2 linked regions of the Rhinolophus ferrumequinum genome follow. Each later gene encodes a partner of the first gene's protein in a complex. Links are inferred from orthologs where the notes say so. Each region holds a gene or a part of one and is shown on either strand. Other genes may lie near its edges.

The links.
Region 2: the proteins of GHRHR (region 1) and GHRH are in contact, whole or in part, in a cryo-EM structure (PDB 7CZ5), measured with the Homo sapiens proteins. The link is inferred for Rhinolophus ferrumequinum from reciprocal best matches to the Homo sapiens genes GHRHR and GHRH. Residues at the interface, in NP_000814.2 of Homo sapiens: Leu119, Ala120, Glu122, Glu123, Phe126, Ser127, Val129, Lys130, Tyr133, Val179, Lys182, Leu186, Phe187, Asp190, Thr192, Asp193, His194, Cys195, Phe197, His210, Thr213, Phe217, Ala271, Cys272, Asp274, Leu275, Asp276, Trp282, Ile285, Ile289; in NP_066567.1 of Homo sapiens: Tyr32, Ala33, Asp34, Ala35, Ile36, Phe37, Thr38, Asn39, Ser40, Tyr41, Arg42, Val44, Leu45, Gly46, Gln47, Leu48, Ser49, Ala50, Leu53.

What each region holds. Positions count from the first base shown.
Region 1 is NC_046303.1:11,587,676-11,594,886, forward strand, and holds the start of GHRHR (growth hormone-releasing hormone receptor), read right to left. Parts: upstream 3,019-7,211; 5' UTR 2,977-3,018; coding exon 2,920-2,976; intron 2,298-2,919; coding exon 2,188-2,297; intron 2,068-2,187; coding exon 1,961-2,067; intron 1,214-1,960; coding exon 1,118-1,213; intron 15-1,117; coding exon 1-14.
Region 2 is NC_046306.1:18,664,194-18,671,453, reverse strand, and holds the start of GHRH (somatoliberin), read right to left. Parts: upstream 3,021-7,260; coding exon 2,941-3,020; intron 2,651-2,940; coding exon 2,546-2,650; intron 1,126-2,545; coding exon 1,009-1,125; coding exon of another isoform or gene 1,006-1,008; intron 1-1,005. UniProt on the Homo sapiens protein: GRF is released by the hypothalamus and acts on the adenohypophyse to stimulate the secretion of growth hormone.

The sequences.
Region 1 (7,211 bases):
GAAGTAGGATTGCTGGGAAGGGTGGAGATGGAGAAAGTCTCAGCTACTGAGCATGAGGGAAAGGGAGGCTTCACAGTCTACCCGGTGAGGCTCTCTGTTCTACCCTGAAACTGCCCATCTGAGGCTGGGGTGTCCGTGGGGGCCATGGCAAGCTCCTTCCATGGCCTGAAGTGTTTGTTTTCAGCCTGTCCTCCGCCTAACCTCCTGGTGACAGGGAGGGCGGTGACAGGGAGTGAGACGCTTCACTCCCACTGTTGCTCTGGGGTTGGGGAGAGGCAGCAGCAGAAACTCCGCATCCCTGGGGAATGACAGGAGCTCAGGAGGAAACTGGGCTTGTTTACTGACATCCAACTTGCTCACCACGACGTCCCCAAAGAAAGGGGACAGCCGGCAACAACCACAGGGAAAAGCTCTTTCCATGACCAAGTGTTTGGCTCAATCAAAGTCCAGCCTGGACCCTGAAGGTGGAGATGTGGGGCGCAGGCCGAGGGACGGGAGCAGGGGCCCAGCTCCCCTGAGGGACACAGGTAATCCGAGCCCCTGTCTGACTCAGTCTTTTCACCTGAAAAAATGGTCAGATTCATGCTTTACCAGGCTGAGGGGAAAGAAATATAAGATTATGGGCATGGAAGCAAGCCCTGCTCAGTTTGGAGGTGTGGGGCGTGCCGGCTTATTCGGGGTCACTGCGACCACTTCTGAGCAGCAGTTTCTCTCACTTGCCTACACCACAGCCATACACACTGCTCCACAGACAGGAAGAGAGGGAAGGAGCTGGCCCAGGAGCGCGGGGAACATATATTTCCCTGGAACCACCCCAAACTCTCTGCCCTGGAGATGAGGGCACAGAGAGGGGATGCCAAGGAGATGGTCTCCAGCACATCCCCCGGCCTGCCCTCTGCCTTCCCTCCCGCCAAGCAACGCTCCCACCTATCACCCTTGAACAGATTAGCAAAAGTCTCTCTTCCAGACACTGCCATCTTCTGGAAATCTGCTGCAGTTGATATTCCAACCTGCTGCTACAACGGAATGGGCTTGCCCTACAGTTGTGAGGTGCACCCCACCCCCCAAACACCTCCATGGCCACCCTTCCTGCAAGACGCCTGGAGCCTCTTACCGTCCTCGGTCAGCAGTTCCAAGGGCACAGGGCAGGCCACAGAGTAAGGTGGGAAGGGCTCAGACCAGCCTGCGATCGTGCAATCCCGCTGCACAGCCCCTGGGAGGCAAGTGGAGGTGGGGGGGAGCAGAGGTCTGGTCACAGCCCCTGCCCTCTCCCCAGAAGGGATGGGAGCCATGGGCCATGAGTGACCCTGGCAGGCTGCGCAGACAGCCCCTCCAGGCGGCAGAGAGAGAGGAGCCTTCTCTGTAGACGCCTGGGTTCCAGGTCCAGCCTGCCTGGGACACGTTCTGAAGCCTTTCTCTCTGGCCTCAGAATCACCATCTTTAAAGGGAGAGGACCATTCCTTTGAGAGGCAGAGTAGTGAGTTGGGCCCCCAGCATCCTAACAGCCGGGGGGAGAAAGGAGGCCCCCCTGCTCCTGGAGGGACTGTCCAGCGCAGCTTCCCAGGCCAGGGAGGGAGGCAGAGCGATGCCTTCCCTCCTCCCACGAGGCAGCTGGTAGTATCTTCGCGGTCAGACAGGCTCTGCCCCGCTCCACCCCACAGCCAGCCCTCCTGTTACCATCCAGGGAACACGTACTTGGTGCCAGGCCGTGGGTCCAGCACTTCTGCTGGCTCACTAATCCTCCCGCCTATGCAGTGAATGAGCTTGTTCCCCCCAGGTCACAGGTCAGAAAGCTGCGTTTCACTGACTTGCCCAAGGTCACACCCAAAGAGAGGACATTGTTGAAACCCAGGTCTGCCTCCCCCCACCCCCCAAGCCAGGGTTGTATCTGCCCACATCCCGGCATCACCAGACGAAATCACCTCCCCTGCCCACCCACCACCACACCCCAAACCCTCACCTGGCTCTGAGCTGAAGTGAGAGAAGAAATCCGGGCAGGGGAGAGTCACCCCCTCACCAGAGTCTGCCATCGGCCAGCACAGCAGCCCATCCCAGGTCCTGGGCAGCCTGGATACAGAGATGGGGAGCAGTGCAGACTCAGCCTGGGAGACAGGCCCGTCCAACATCCTAAGAGATGAGCCTGGAAGAGATAAAGGAACCCAAGGAGCCAGCTCCTCCCTCCCAAGCCCCGTACCCAGGGTGGCGTTGGGTACCCCCTCTGCTGCCGGCAGACACGCACTCTCATCCTCCCTCAACTGGGTGATGAAGTCACACTCTGGGTGCACGTGGCCCAAGACCTGCAGAAAAGTTAACAGGTGAGCCAAGCCCGTTGAGTGTTCCTTCTGAGTTCTCTGGCCCAAATGACCTGAGGACAGAGACAAAGCCGGATTTGTTTCTGTGTGCCTGCTGGTAAGCACAGGGCCTGGCTCACGGCACTGACCCGTGGGCTTGATGGAAGGAGGGAGGGAGGAAGGGAGGGAGGGAAGAAAGGAGGGAGGGAGGAAGAAAAGATGGAGGTCAGATGGAAGTTTCCCTTTTTCATCTCTTGGAAGTAAGTTCTAAGACACATTAAACAAAAGTCTTCAGAAGATCTCATGGGAGAAAGAGAGGAAGGGAAGGGAAGGGAAGGAGAGGGAAGGAAAGAGGAAGGAAGGGGAAGGGAGGGGAGGGGAGGGGAGGGAAAGAAGGGGAAGGAGAGGGCAGGGAAAGGGAGAGGAGGGAAGGGATGGGGAAGGGAGGGAAGAGCCATGGGATTTAGGAGTTCTCCAAGCCACAGCCTGCCACCTTCTTGGTAGGGAGACTCCTGCTCTGGGAAGGGCAGTGAGGATCCCAGCAAGCTCCAGCTGGACCCCCGTATAGCCCGTAACTCCCAGATCTGGAGCCTAGTGAGAGGCAGGAGGGTCTGAGCTGGCTACTCACAATTGGTAATGAGCTCAGAAAGCAGAGGCTGCAGGCACCCCGTGCCCTGCTGTCCATGGTGGGGGTCAGCAGTGGCTCCCTCAGTCAGCTCACTGAGCCCCAGCTTTCTTCTCTCTCCTTCCTAGGTGGTTGTTTGCATAGGCAGGAGCCAGCAAAGGGGACAGAACTGGCTGAATATTCACCAGGATTGCAGGACGCTGTGCACAGCTCAGGCCCTGTCCTGGCGTGGGACTCCATGTCCCCAGCAGGGAGGGGCTAAGTCCCCCTACTTCCATCCTCTCTGTCAGTCAGCCTGTTTGTCTATCCTGATAGTGGGGGCCCCGGGAGGTGACAGCCCCAGGACACTTCTTGCCCCAGTAGGTCATATTCTTAACCATTTTCTTCTCTAAGCTCAGCCCCTGCTGGTCCACACTGGAGGGAGCCCCTCAAAATGAACGTGGCTCAGAGAAGAAGACTGAGACCTGGGCCCGTCCTCAGGGAGCCCCCGGTTTGGTTGGTGAGCTTCAGCCTTGTCCCAGGGCTATAGAGGATGGGCTCAGGGCTGTGGGGACCCAGCGGGAGTGGGTATGGGTGTCAGTGGGGGCTGGGATTTGGAGAATGAGCCTAGGAGGAAGCATGGTTACAGGGCAACCAGCGTGGGCTGGCCAGAAGGTGTCATCAGCAGGACATCATTTCTTTCCCTCACAAGGGACAGCAGCCTGGATGGCGAGGTGAAGTGTGCAGATAGCTCGGCTCTGGCTTGGGGTTGGGGGGGGGGGAGCTGACTCTCCAGAAGTCCTGGGGGAAAACAGGGGAAATTGAGGCTCAACAGAGGCTTTCAAGGGGATTCATGGCGCTGGCCATTCTGAATGGAGCAAGAAAACTGTTATCTGTTGTCACGAGCAAAAACAGGAGAACTTTCACAGCCACTCAAATCGTTTTCAACATTCGTTACCCGATCATTTTTGTTGCAGTTTTAGACTTTAAAACGCGGACAGCGTTCTACGTTACCCTGGATCTTGTCCAGCATGTTGAGATTCAAAAGCACATTTTAAGCTGCCAGCACCTGGGAGGTCCTGGCAGTTGGAAGCAGGTCTGCATGTCCCAGAGCTGGCTGGACTGGACACCAGTGACACCAGACATGTTTACAGCTGATGCAAATCATGAATGATGAAGGATATCATCGCCCCTGCCACGTCTGGATTAAGGATAAAACATCAACAGGGTTGTATCTTTGCATTTGTATTCATCAGCAACAAGGTGTTGGAGAAAAACATATTGAAAAGAAAACATGAACCAGCCCAAAGCCCAGACCCCCCTGCCCTCCCACAGGTGGTGGCATGTGCTCCCTGGGGCACAGTGTGAGCAGCCGGTACACGGACTGAGTGCAGTGTTTTTCAGGGTTGGAAACGCGCTCCTCCGTGGCACACCGAGTGAGGATTTGCAGGTTGGGACAGCAGAGCCGAGTAGGTGACTTAGAGGGAAAGCTAGATACACCCTCTGCCCTGCCCTTCAGGTAGAAAGAAGCAACAGCCCAAGGACAAATATGACCACTAATCACTGTGGATAATTAGTGTCCGTGTCATTAGCATTAATGATGGTTAATCATTGATATTGATACTTAATAATAATTGTTTTCTACATTAGTGGTTCTTTTTTGTTTACCCTTCTTCCGCTTCCACCCCCTCACCTCTGAGTTCAAGCCATTGTTTCTCAGTCTAGCTCCCTGGCCCATGCTGGTATTATGAGCCTTGTGCTCCCCCGTCAGTGGACACAGACCTTCAGCTGTTCTCCACAGCCCAGCTCCAGAGAGCTGTTGTTCACAGTCTTAGCTGTAGAGGGCGCAGCTCACTGGCCCATGCGGGAATCGAACCAGCGACCTCGGCAAGCACGGCTCTCCAACCACCTAAGCCACCAGGCCAGCCCTAAATTAGTGGTTCTTAAGAGGAAACAATGTGTCCCCCAGGGAATGTTTGGCAATGCCTAGAGATAGTTTTCATTATCACAGCCAGAGGTCAAGGGTGGGGAGCAGGCGTGTCAAGGTGTTACTTCTGTATAATAGACAGAAACCAGGGATGCTGTTAAACATCCTACAGTGCACAGGATGTCCCCCCGCACCCACAGAATGAACTGTCCAGTTCATAAGATCAATAGAACGAAAGCTGAGACACACTGATCTAACCGTTCCTGTCCCCCAAGGATTCCTGCAGGCCCACTGTCCCTTCTCAGTAGGCCAGGGTCACTGAGTCCCATCTCTGTCTATCTCTGTATCTACTCAGAGTTCAAATTCTGCCTCCACCGCTTGCTAGCTATGTGACCTTTCTGAGCCTCAGTTTCTCCACCTGAAAAATGGGGGGTGATACCTTCCTTGCAGGGTTGATGGGATAATTAGTCAAGGAACAGCATATAACGTACCTCATAGAGAATTTAGCTCATAGTGGACAATCACTGATGGTAGCACGTAATAAGGATGGATTATCAGCAAATAAAGTTAGAACAATCAATTCTTTGTATAGAAAAAATTAGATTTGATCTCTAGCTTGCATTTACAAAATATAAATTTCTATAAGGTTTAAAGCCCTAACTGTAAAACAACAAACTAATAGATTTTTCCCCAATAATAGAAATTTGCTTCTATAACCTTAGAATAAAGGAGATTTTCTCTATAAAAAATAAAAACCATAAGAAAAGATTACTTACGTTTGATCCCATCAACATTTTTAAAAAATGTATTTTCAAGAAAGAACAACACAGGTAAAACTATAAGCAAGGTACAGACTGAAAGAAATATTGGCAATAGTGACAAAGAAGACATAACATCAAAAAAATATTTTTTAAAAAATATCTACAAATTAATAATAAAAATAGAAATAATCCAATAGAAAAGTGAGCAAAGGATATAAACAGGCAATAAGTAAAATATAGGACCAATAACAGAAAATGATGTTCAACATTACTAATACTCAAAAAATAGGAAATAAAAATAATAAGCTACCCTTTCTCACCTATCACATTGCCTAAAATTTTAATGTCTGATACTATGATGTTTGGAAAATAAGGTAGGGAAATAGTATTTTTATACTGTTAAGATGGGGGTAAACCTGGGTACACCTACTTTGAAAAGCAATTTGATATTATCTGTTGAACCTATCAATGAACATGCCTTACAAACCAGAAGTTCCGCTTCTGGATATTTGCCCCAGAGGGCAGCATTGTTTATAACATGTAGCAAAAACAGAAACACAAATGTCCAACAATAATAGATAAGTAAAATGTGATATAGTCATACAATGAAATACTACAGGGCATTAAAAGATGAATGAAGTTGATTTACATCGACATGGAGAGATTTCAAAAAAATGTATTGGAGAAACTTCTGCTTCCAGCCAAGATAGCATAACAGGGAATGATTGACCTTCTTCCTGCGTAACCTCAAGAAATCCAAACAAAATACTCAAAATATTGGGTTTTAATAGGTGAAGCAAAAAAGTACATATGATCATCTCCATTGATGCAGAAAAAGCATTTGACAAAAATCTAACACTCTTTCAAGATAAAAATACTCAATATGCTTAGAATAGAGAGAGTTTCTCTAACATGACAAAGGTCATATATGAAAAATCACAGTGACCATCACACTCAGTGATGAAAAACCGAAAGTGTTTTCCCTAAGATGATGAACAAGACAGGCTGTCTGGTTTCTCCAGTTCTTTTCAACGCAGTCCTACCGTAGAAGTCCTAGCCAGAATAACCAGGCAAGAAAAAGAAAATAAAACTCATCCAAATTAGTATATGTGCTGCCGAAACGAGCACAGAAACTCATCCAAATTAGAAAGAAAAAAAGAAAATTATTTCTGTTTGCTGATGACACGCTATGAATATCCTAAAGAATACACACATGTTTTATGTTGAATATTATATGTCAATTATATATTGAATATCCTAAAGAATACACACATGTGCGCACACACACACTTTCAAATACATTGGAGTAAACTTAACCAAGGAGGTAAAAGACTTTTACATAAAACCATAAAATATTATTGAAAGAAATTAAAGATCTAAAGAAAGGGAAAGATATCTTGTGTTCATGAATTGGAAAACTTAATATTGTTAACATGATAATACTGCCCAAACTGATAAACAGATTCAGTACAAATCCTATGAAAAATCCCAACGGAATATTTTTAAGAATTAAAAAAATCCATACTAAAATTCATATGGCATTTCAAGTTTCCCTGAAAGGTCAAAACAGTCTTGAAAAAACAAAGTTACAACCCTCACAATACTTGATTTCAAAACTTACTACAAAG
Region 2 (7,260 bases), on another chromosome or scaffold:
CCAGACCTGGAGCCCAGGTGTGCATTCTGCCTCCCTTGCAGCCTGGTTCTCACCCCTCCTGCAGCCTGCCTGTCGCCTGCCACTGCTTGTATCTCCACAGGACTGTAGTTGGGGAGAGATCTCTGAGCTCTTGGTGTCTAATTAGGTTGGGAAGAGGGTGAGGGAGCACACGGAGAGAGCTCTGTTGGGAAGTGGATTTGCTTAATAGGTCCAGAAATGCCTGGCAGAGTCAAGCTGGGACATGTTTGTACTCACAGTTGAAAATTGGCCTCAAAAATATAGCAGAGTTTCACCAAACAGTCGTGTCATTTTGGGGAAACTTTGTCTGTGAAGCAGGGCTTTCTGGGCAGGCGCTCCAGGGAAGCAGAGCAGGTCTTGGGCCTGCCAGTCCCTGACTTAGGGGCAACTGCTGCCCCTTCTTTGCCTCAGTTTTCCTCCTCTGTAAGATGGGAAAACTCATTCCTGATCTTCCATGACTTCCAGTGGGAAAGTGAGGGGCAGAAAGATGGGGAATGACTGTCATTCTCATCTCTCCCCCTCATGAGTGCTCCACACACATCTTTCTGAGGGTGTTGGGTGGGGCTGGTCTTTGGTTTTATAGTTTCGTGAACTTGGCAAGGGATCCAGGGCATGCTTCTCAGATCATTCATCCCCTGGGATATGTGTTAAAATTCAGGTTCCTGGGTCCTCTCCCAGAACTATTGAGTCAGTCATGTTTTTGGACACAGACGCTGAGCCTGGCCTCTTGCAACACACTGGAGATACAGTAATGGATAAGATACAATTGTTATCACACGTTTTCTCCTCTTCCTCCAGTTCTTGATGTGTGTAAGGACGAACTTCGTTTCCAGTTTGCTTGGCAGAGCCCCACGCCTTTGGAGGGGAGAGTCTTTCCTTTTCCTGCTGACCCTCGTGGGAGGAAACCTCTGAGCTCCCTAGGTGCACACCCATGCACACGTGTACACACATACACATATGTATACACACACATGCACGTATTCCTACCTCTGCTTCTGTGGCAGGGCCACCAGGATGCTCTCCAATGCCATCTGCTTTTGGTCTGCCCACATGCTCTCCGCCTGACGGCCAGCCCTTACCTTTGCTCTTTGCTCCTGGTTTCTTTCTCTATTTGATTAGAAAAAGAGAAACAGCTGAGGCTCGTATTTGGGTAGCTGAGGTGGAGAGGCCTGGGAAAGACCAAGACAAAGTGAGCAGAGCAGGGTGTGTCCGTACACCGATTCCAGGATCTGGTATGAATGCTGCCAGCCAACTGAATCAGATTTGGCAGCAATTTAGGAAGGCAGTCTATATAGCAGTGAAGAGCATGGGCTATGAAACACACGTTTACTTATTCATTACAAAGGGAAACATATTAACTTTATAGAGGAGAAAACTAGCAGACACTGTGTCAACCAAATGATCAAAGTTACCATCACCAATAATGGGACAAATTGACATCATGTGCCTGCTGATACGAGACACTGAGAGGGACACAACGTCACTCCTGTGGCATAACCTGAATCTAGCCATGAGGAAGCATCAGGCAAATCCAACATGAGGGGCGTTCCATAAACAATTGGCCTTCACTAAACAAAAATGTCAGTGGCCTGGAAGATGAAGGCACTGTTCCAGAGGAAAGGAAACTAAGGAGACATGACAGCGAAATGCCACTCAGGATCCTGGATTGGATCCTGGGTCAGGAAAAGAAATAATCGTTATAGAGGATATTTTAGGTCAACTGGTAAATTTTGAGTGTGGACTCTAAAGGATAATTGTACTGTGATTAAGTAAGAGAATGTCCTTTCATTGGGTATTAGGAGACACCCACAGAAGAAGGGTAAGGGGTCACGAGGACTGCAATTTACTCTCAAGTGGTTCAGCAAAATAATATCAATGTTAATAATAACCGTAGTAATACAGGTGTACATGTGTTTGTGTATGTGTAGATATACATCTAAGTTATAGAGCAAGCAAATACGATAAAAATGTTAGGAATTACTGAATATAGGGAAGGGTACATAGAAGTCCTTTGTACTATTGCTGCAATTTCTCTATCAATTTGGAATTTTTTCAAAATAAAACCTGAAAAATGTGGAGTCAGGCTGTTTGGATCCCGGCGCTGCCACTCTTTGGTGTGTGTCCTTTAGAAGCTATTAATGGCTCTGGACGAAGTGGGTAAGAGTTCCTACTTTGGAAGGTGGTTAGAAAGAGCAAACAAGAAATGAAGGACAACGGCTAATACTAACAAGGCCTTACTGGGTGCTCAGCGCTGTGCCAAGTGTATGTAAATGGCTCAGTGCAGAGCCTTTGTTTCTGAGTTGTGACCCAGTACTAACTACCATTGGCATGGTTCCCACTGGAGCCCAGAATAGAGAGAAGCACATAGTAGGTGTTCAATGGCCATTGAATAGTGAGAGGTAAGCTAAAGTTTGACATTGGGGCCCTTCTGCTATGGCAAGCCCAGAAATGACAGGTGCTGTGCAAGGGAAGAGATAAAACTTGGTGCACGTGGGGTATGGAAGGAATCACAGGAACTCCTGCTTACCCCTGCTGCCTGCTCATGAGGTCCTGGAGCAGCTTGCGGGCAGACAGCTGGCCCAGCACCTTCCGGTAGCCATTGGTGAAGATGGCATCGGCATACCGGGGCATCCTACGTGGGAGGAGTCAGAAGTCAACGGGCAGCATGGCACACTCGGGCAAGGGAACAGACAGGCTGCAGTCACCAGTCACCTGTTGCCCTTTACCCTGTTCATCCCCAGAGGGGGTGGGACCCAAGGGTGACCTCTCTGGAGCTCAGAGTGCCCCCCTCCCAGAGATGGGCAGTACGGGCTGCCTGAGGGGATGGCTGGGGCCAGCTGATGGCTCAGTTCTGCACCCGCCCACCAGCAGGGATGGCTTTGGGGTGGCAGGAATCCAGGTCTTGTTGGCAGGACTGCTTACCTGAGGGGCAAGGAGGGTGGGGAGCAGTGGGAGCCGCTGCTGAGGGTGAGGATCATGAGCAAGAACACCCAGAGCAGCATTTTTCACCCCTGTGGTGGCACCTGGAAAATGACAGGAGGGAAGGTCAGATGTAGCCATAGCCACGGGGATGTCCTTTGCTGGCTGTGCCCAGCCCTGGGCTTGGCTCCAAGCAAGCCTTGGTCCTTGTCTTTTGGAAGCTGTAGGTTAGGAAAAAGAACCCAGACTCTGGAAGTCAGACAGACCTGAGTTCAAGTTTAGCCTCTGCCAGTCATGAGTTCTGACCTCATTTTCTCCATCTGTAAAATGGGCATGATAAAGCTCCCTTGCTGACCTGATAGGGTTGAAGAGAAAATTAAAGATAATGGTGAAACTGCCCCTTCCTTTAAGGCATTAAATATGGAATTCAGGCCTCAGCAAGGGATAAAGCAGATGCAAGCACCTTCCTTTAGTCCCCTACGTCACCCCCCACCCCACAGTGTGACATTGACATAGCGATCGGGACTGACAGCTCAGGCTCCAAGTCAGACTAATCTGAGTTCATATCCGAGCTCTGCCATCATTAGCTGTGTATCCCAGGACAAGTGGCTTCTCCTTCCTGGGCCTCAGTTTCCCTATTCACAAAATGGAGTCGATAACTATACCTACTGCATAGGGTCCTTGTAAGCATGCGATGAAATGAGGCACCTGAAGTGAGTAGCCTGGCCCATGGGAATTTCTCCATAAACTTTTGCTGTGATGATTTAATATTAAACCTGCTCAGATAGTAATATCGGCATGTGCTGTTTTGGTTTTGGGTGGAGTTGGAGGGAAGCGAAGGCTATAAATCTTGCTCCAGACGCTTAGATTTCACCAAACAATCTGAGCCCTGGAAGAGACCCAGGAGCCTGGGGAGCCACGCAAAATTATCTCATAGATCACGTAATTACCCTTAATTGGGGCCTGCTGACACCGTGCTCTGCAATTAGAGGAAGAACAGGCAACAGGGAGGGGAAGAACCCACCTCAGCTGGAGTGGTGCCTCCACTGTCAACCCAGACTTGCCCTAGTGTGACTCAGCTACCCAGGAATTGGGTCTTCCCATCTCCCATGGTACCCCCTCTCTCAGCAGGTTATCCACGCCACGGGGATAAAGACCATCCAGAGGCCCAGGCAGCCCCTTTCCCCTGATCACCCCACCATGGCTCCGTTTCCTCCCTGGTCCTGCTGAGCAGTGGTTTCTGGCAGGCAGGGCCCGCACTGGAAGAAACCCGTTTTCCTTCCTGGGCTCACCTGCCTTCTCACAGCATCATTCCCCTTCGCCCAGACACCAGGTCCTGACTAACCCAGGGATACCTTGAGACTCAAGGGAATATCCACGGGGACGGCTCGATGTGGCCTGAGACCACGGCACCTCCAGAGCTGGAGGGAGCAGCTGTTTAGGCCTCCACCATCAGCCTTTTCTTGATGAGCCCCACTCCCCACCCCCACCCCAACCTAATCCTCCAGTTCCTGCTCAAGTATTTGCTGCCAGTGAGTGAGAGGGAATTCACTATCTCCGAGCCAGTCTGTCCTACTTCCAGCCATCTCTTCTTGTTAGGAGGTTTTTCTCATCGTGTCAAGTCCATGTCCCCTTATCCTGCAAATACTTGTTAAGTTTTCACTCTTCTGGTAAGGACTGGGGCTAGACAAAAGATGAGAACGTGGCATCTGCCCCTGAGGGCTGCCCCTTTGACATCCATCCAGAGCTTCTGCACTTTCATCCACATGACACGCCCTTTAGATGTGTTTTGCCTCAGACTTAGGCCTTTGGTCCCCAGACCAAGGATCTGTAGCCTTCGGTGCTCATCATACCATAACACGTGTGGCTCCCCCTTTCCTGATCTGGTCCAAGGCCAGAGTTTCCTAAGCAGGGAGATCTTTGGAGGCAAGTAGGGCCCCTTGACACAACCACTGCTTTTTCAGTCTCCCAGCTGCAGCCTGGGCTTTCTCGCCTTCTTGGAGGCTGATCTTTTAGAGACCTGGGCATATCCAGGCCCCTACTCACCCCACTCTTCTGCTCAGAAGCCCTTGCCCCACCCCCTCACTTTCTCCAGAGCGAAGCCCACACCCCTGCTCTTGGCCTAAGCCCTCCCTCAGCCTCCCCACCTCCTGCCCCTGTCCCAGGGCTGGCAGAATCGATTCCCAGCCCCTGTGCCCTCCTGGCCCACACAGCCCACCCTCACACTCACATTCCAGAGCAGGCATCACCATCTTCATTTTATAGCTGAGGAAACAAGCCCAGAGAGGAAAAGGGCCTTTTTCCATAGTCCTCCATCAAATTAGTTTCAGAAAGGGCCCTTCAGAATGGGCCTCAAAATCCCCAGGCCAGCAGACCTCCTGTTCTCCGCAGCAGCCTTCCTGATACAATACCCTATTCATAGTGCTCCTCGTTCATGGGGCCCTTCAGAACTCATCACCTACACGTGGGAAATGGGCCCGATAAAACTGAACGCTTTTGTGTTTTGTCATTGGGTCTCTGAAGAAGGAAAAAGGGGGACAAACAGGAACACCTGCTTGGTGGGTGCACCCCTGTGCACACGCAATGGTTTTAAGGAGTTGAAAAATAACCTGGCAAGAGGGCAGACTTTGGGGGGGCGGAAATCACAGTAATTCCAGGAAACTACTGCTCATTCAGAATGAGGCTGAGCAACTGCATAGTCTGATCAACCAAGAGGCACAGCATTTGCCAGAAGCCATGTGTCCCAGGAGTGGGTCAGGTCACCACGGCCACCTCTGGGCTGTGAGAACCCAATCCACGGGGCTGAGAAATCCCATTGGACAAAGATGGGAAACAACAAGAAGTTTCCAGCTTATGCTATGATAAGAATAGATGAAATAGCTGTTGCCCGACACATGCCACATGACCATTCAAAGGAGCGAGAATTCACAAATCCAACAACATCAGCCACTACTCCGTGATAGTCCCCAAAGCATTTTAGGTTTATTATCTATCATTATGCACATCCGTTAGCTCTCCGCAGTGGTTACAAGCCTGGATTCAGGGTGAATGGGCACTTGATCTAGTTCAGTTGGCACCTTTCGCCAGCCTTCATGGCAAGAACGCCACAAGAATTCTGCAGATGTGCCTGCCTTCAGCTAACCACAGAGGTCAGGTCTCAAATGCCCTCAGGGAACAAAAATCTCTTACCTTTCTTAACTATTCTGCTTTGTAATTTAAGAACCCTGATCCATTTTACAAACCAATCGTATTGCAAGTCGATGGAGATCTAAGTTTTTAACAAGGAAGTACCTTGAATAGTCACTCAGAAGAGCGACACCCCACCTCCTTTCAGAAAGGGTAGGGAGGTGTCTTATGATGAAGGACACAAATACTTCAGGAGCATTAAAGCAAGGATTAGGGAACAAGTGTGGGGGTAATGGAGTGCTCCAAGGGCAGGTAATTGTGTCTAAAACCCAGAGGAAGGAGTGCGGCTGCAATTGAGCAAGAAAGCAAATTGGTATCAATTTCCAGGCAATTACGTTGCATCGGTTCTGAGCGATCAATGCACGGTATTGATTTGCACAGCCGCGTGGCTCCCTTCTGATCCATGGCCGAGTCCCGTTGTTGACAGGGGAATCTAGCCAGCTCACGTCTTGCCCCAGAAGCCTATCCACACACACCTGAGAACCTCACCCACCTCCGACAGACACCTGGACATGTCTGTCTGCCTGCCACTTATCCCAGACGACCTCAAAATGGCACCAACCATCAAAAGCATGTTTCAGGGCCCCTAACAAGGGACCTAAATGTACTCACCAGTCCATGGGCAAAGAGAATGGCGGTGGGCCTCTTTGAGTTGGTGTCTCTGAGTTGGTGAGAAGGTCAACTTTCCTGGTCCCATGCAGCCCAGCCCCCAGGGCCATCCCCCTCTCACCTGAGATGTGGCGGAAAGATCTCCCTCTGCTCTGTGGCGCTGCTGCAGTTCCACGGACCTTAGGCTCAGCGTTTGTTCCGGTGGCTGTGTGGCGCTCCCATCATTTATACCTTCATTTTCCTAAGCGTTGTCAGCGTCAGAGAATCAATTACTCACAAGTCAACCAAAGGACCATTTTTAGCATCACACTGACAAGCCCTAATAGGGGAAAGAGGTTTGCCCCGTATAAATTAAGACTTATACTGGACTCTCCCTTTATCTTTGAAGGAGCAGACAGAGTACAAAGTTATAATATGATTCTGAGAGGAACAGAGAGTATGTAATACTGCTACTCTTGTAATTGGAGCACTCATAACAGTGAAACACCAAAGGTTCATTTACTCTCTGAGATAAATGTGCCTTTTAAA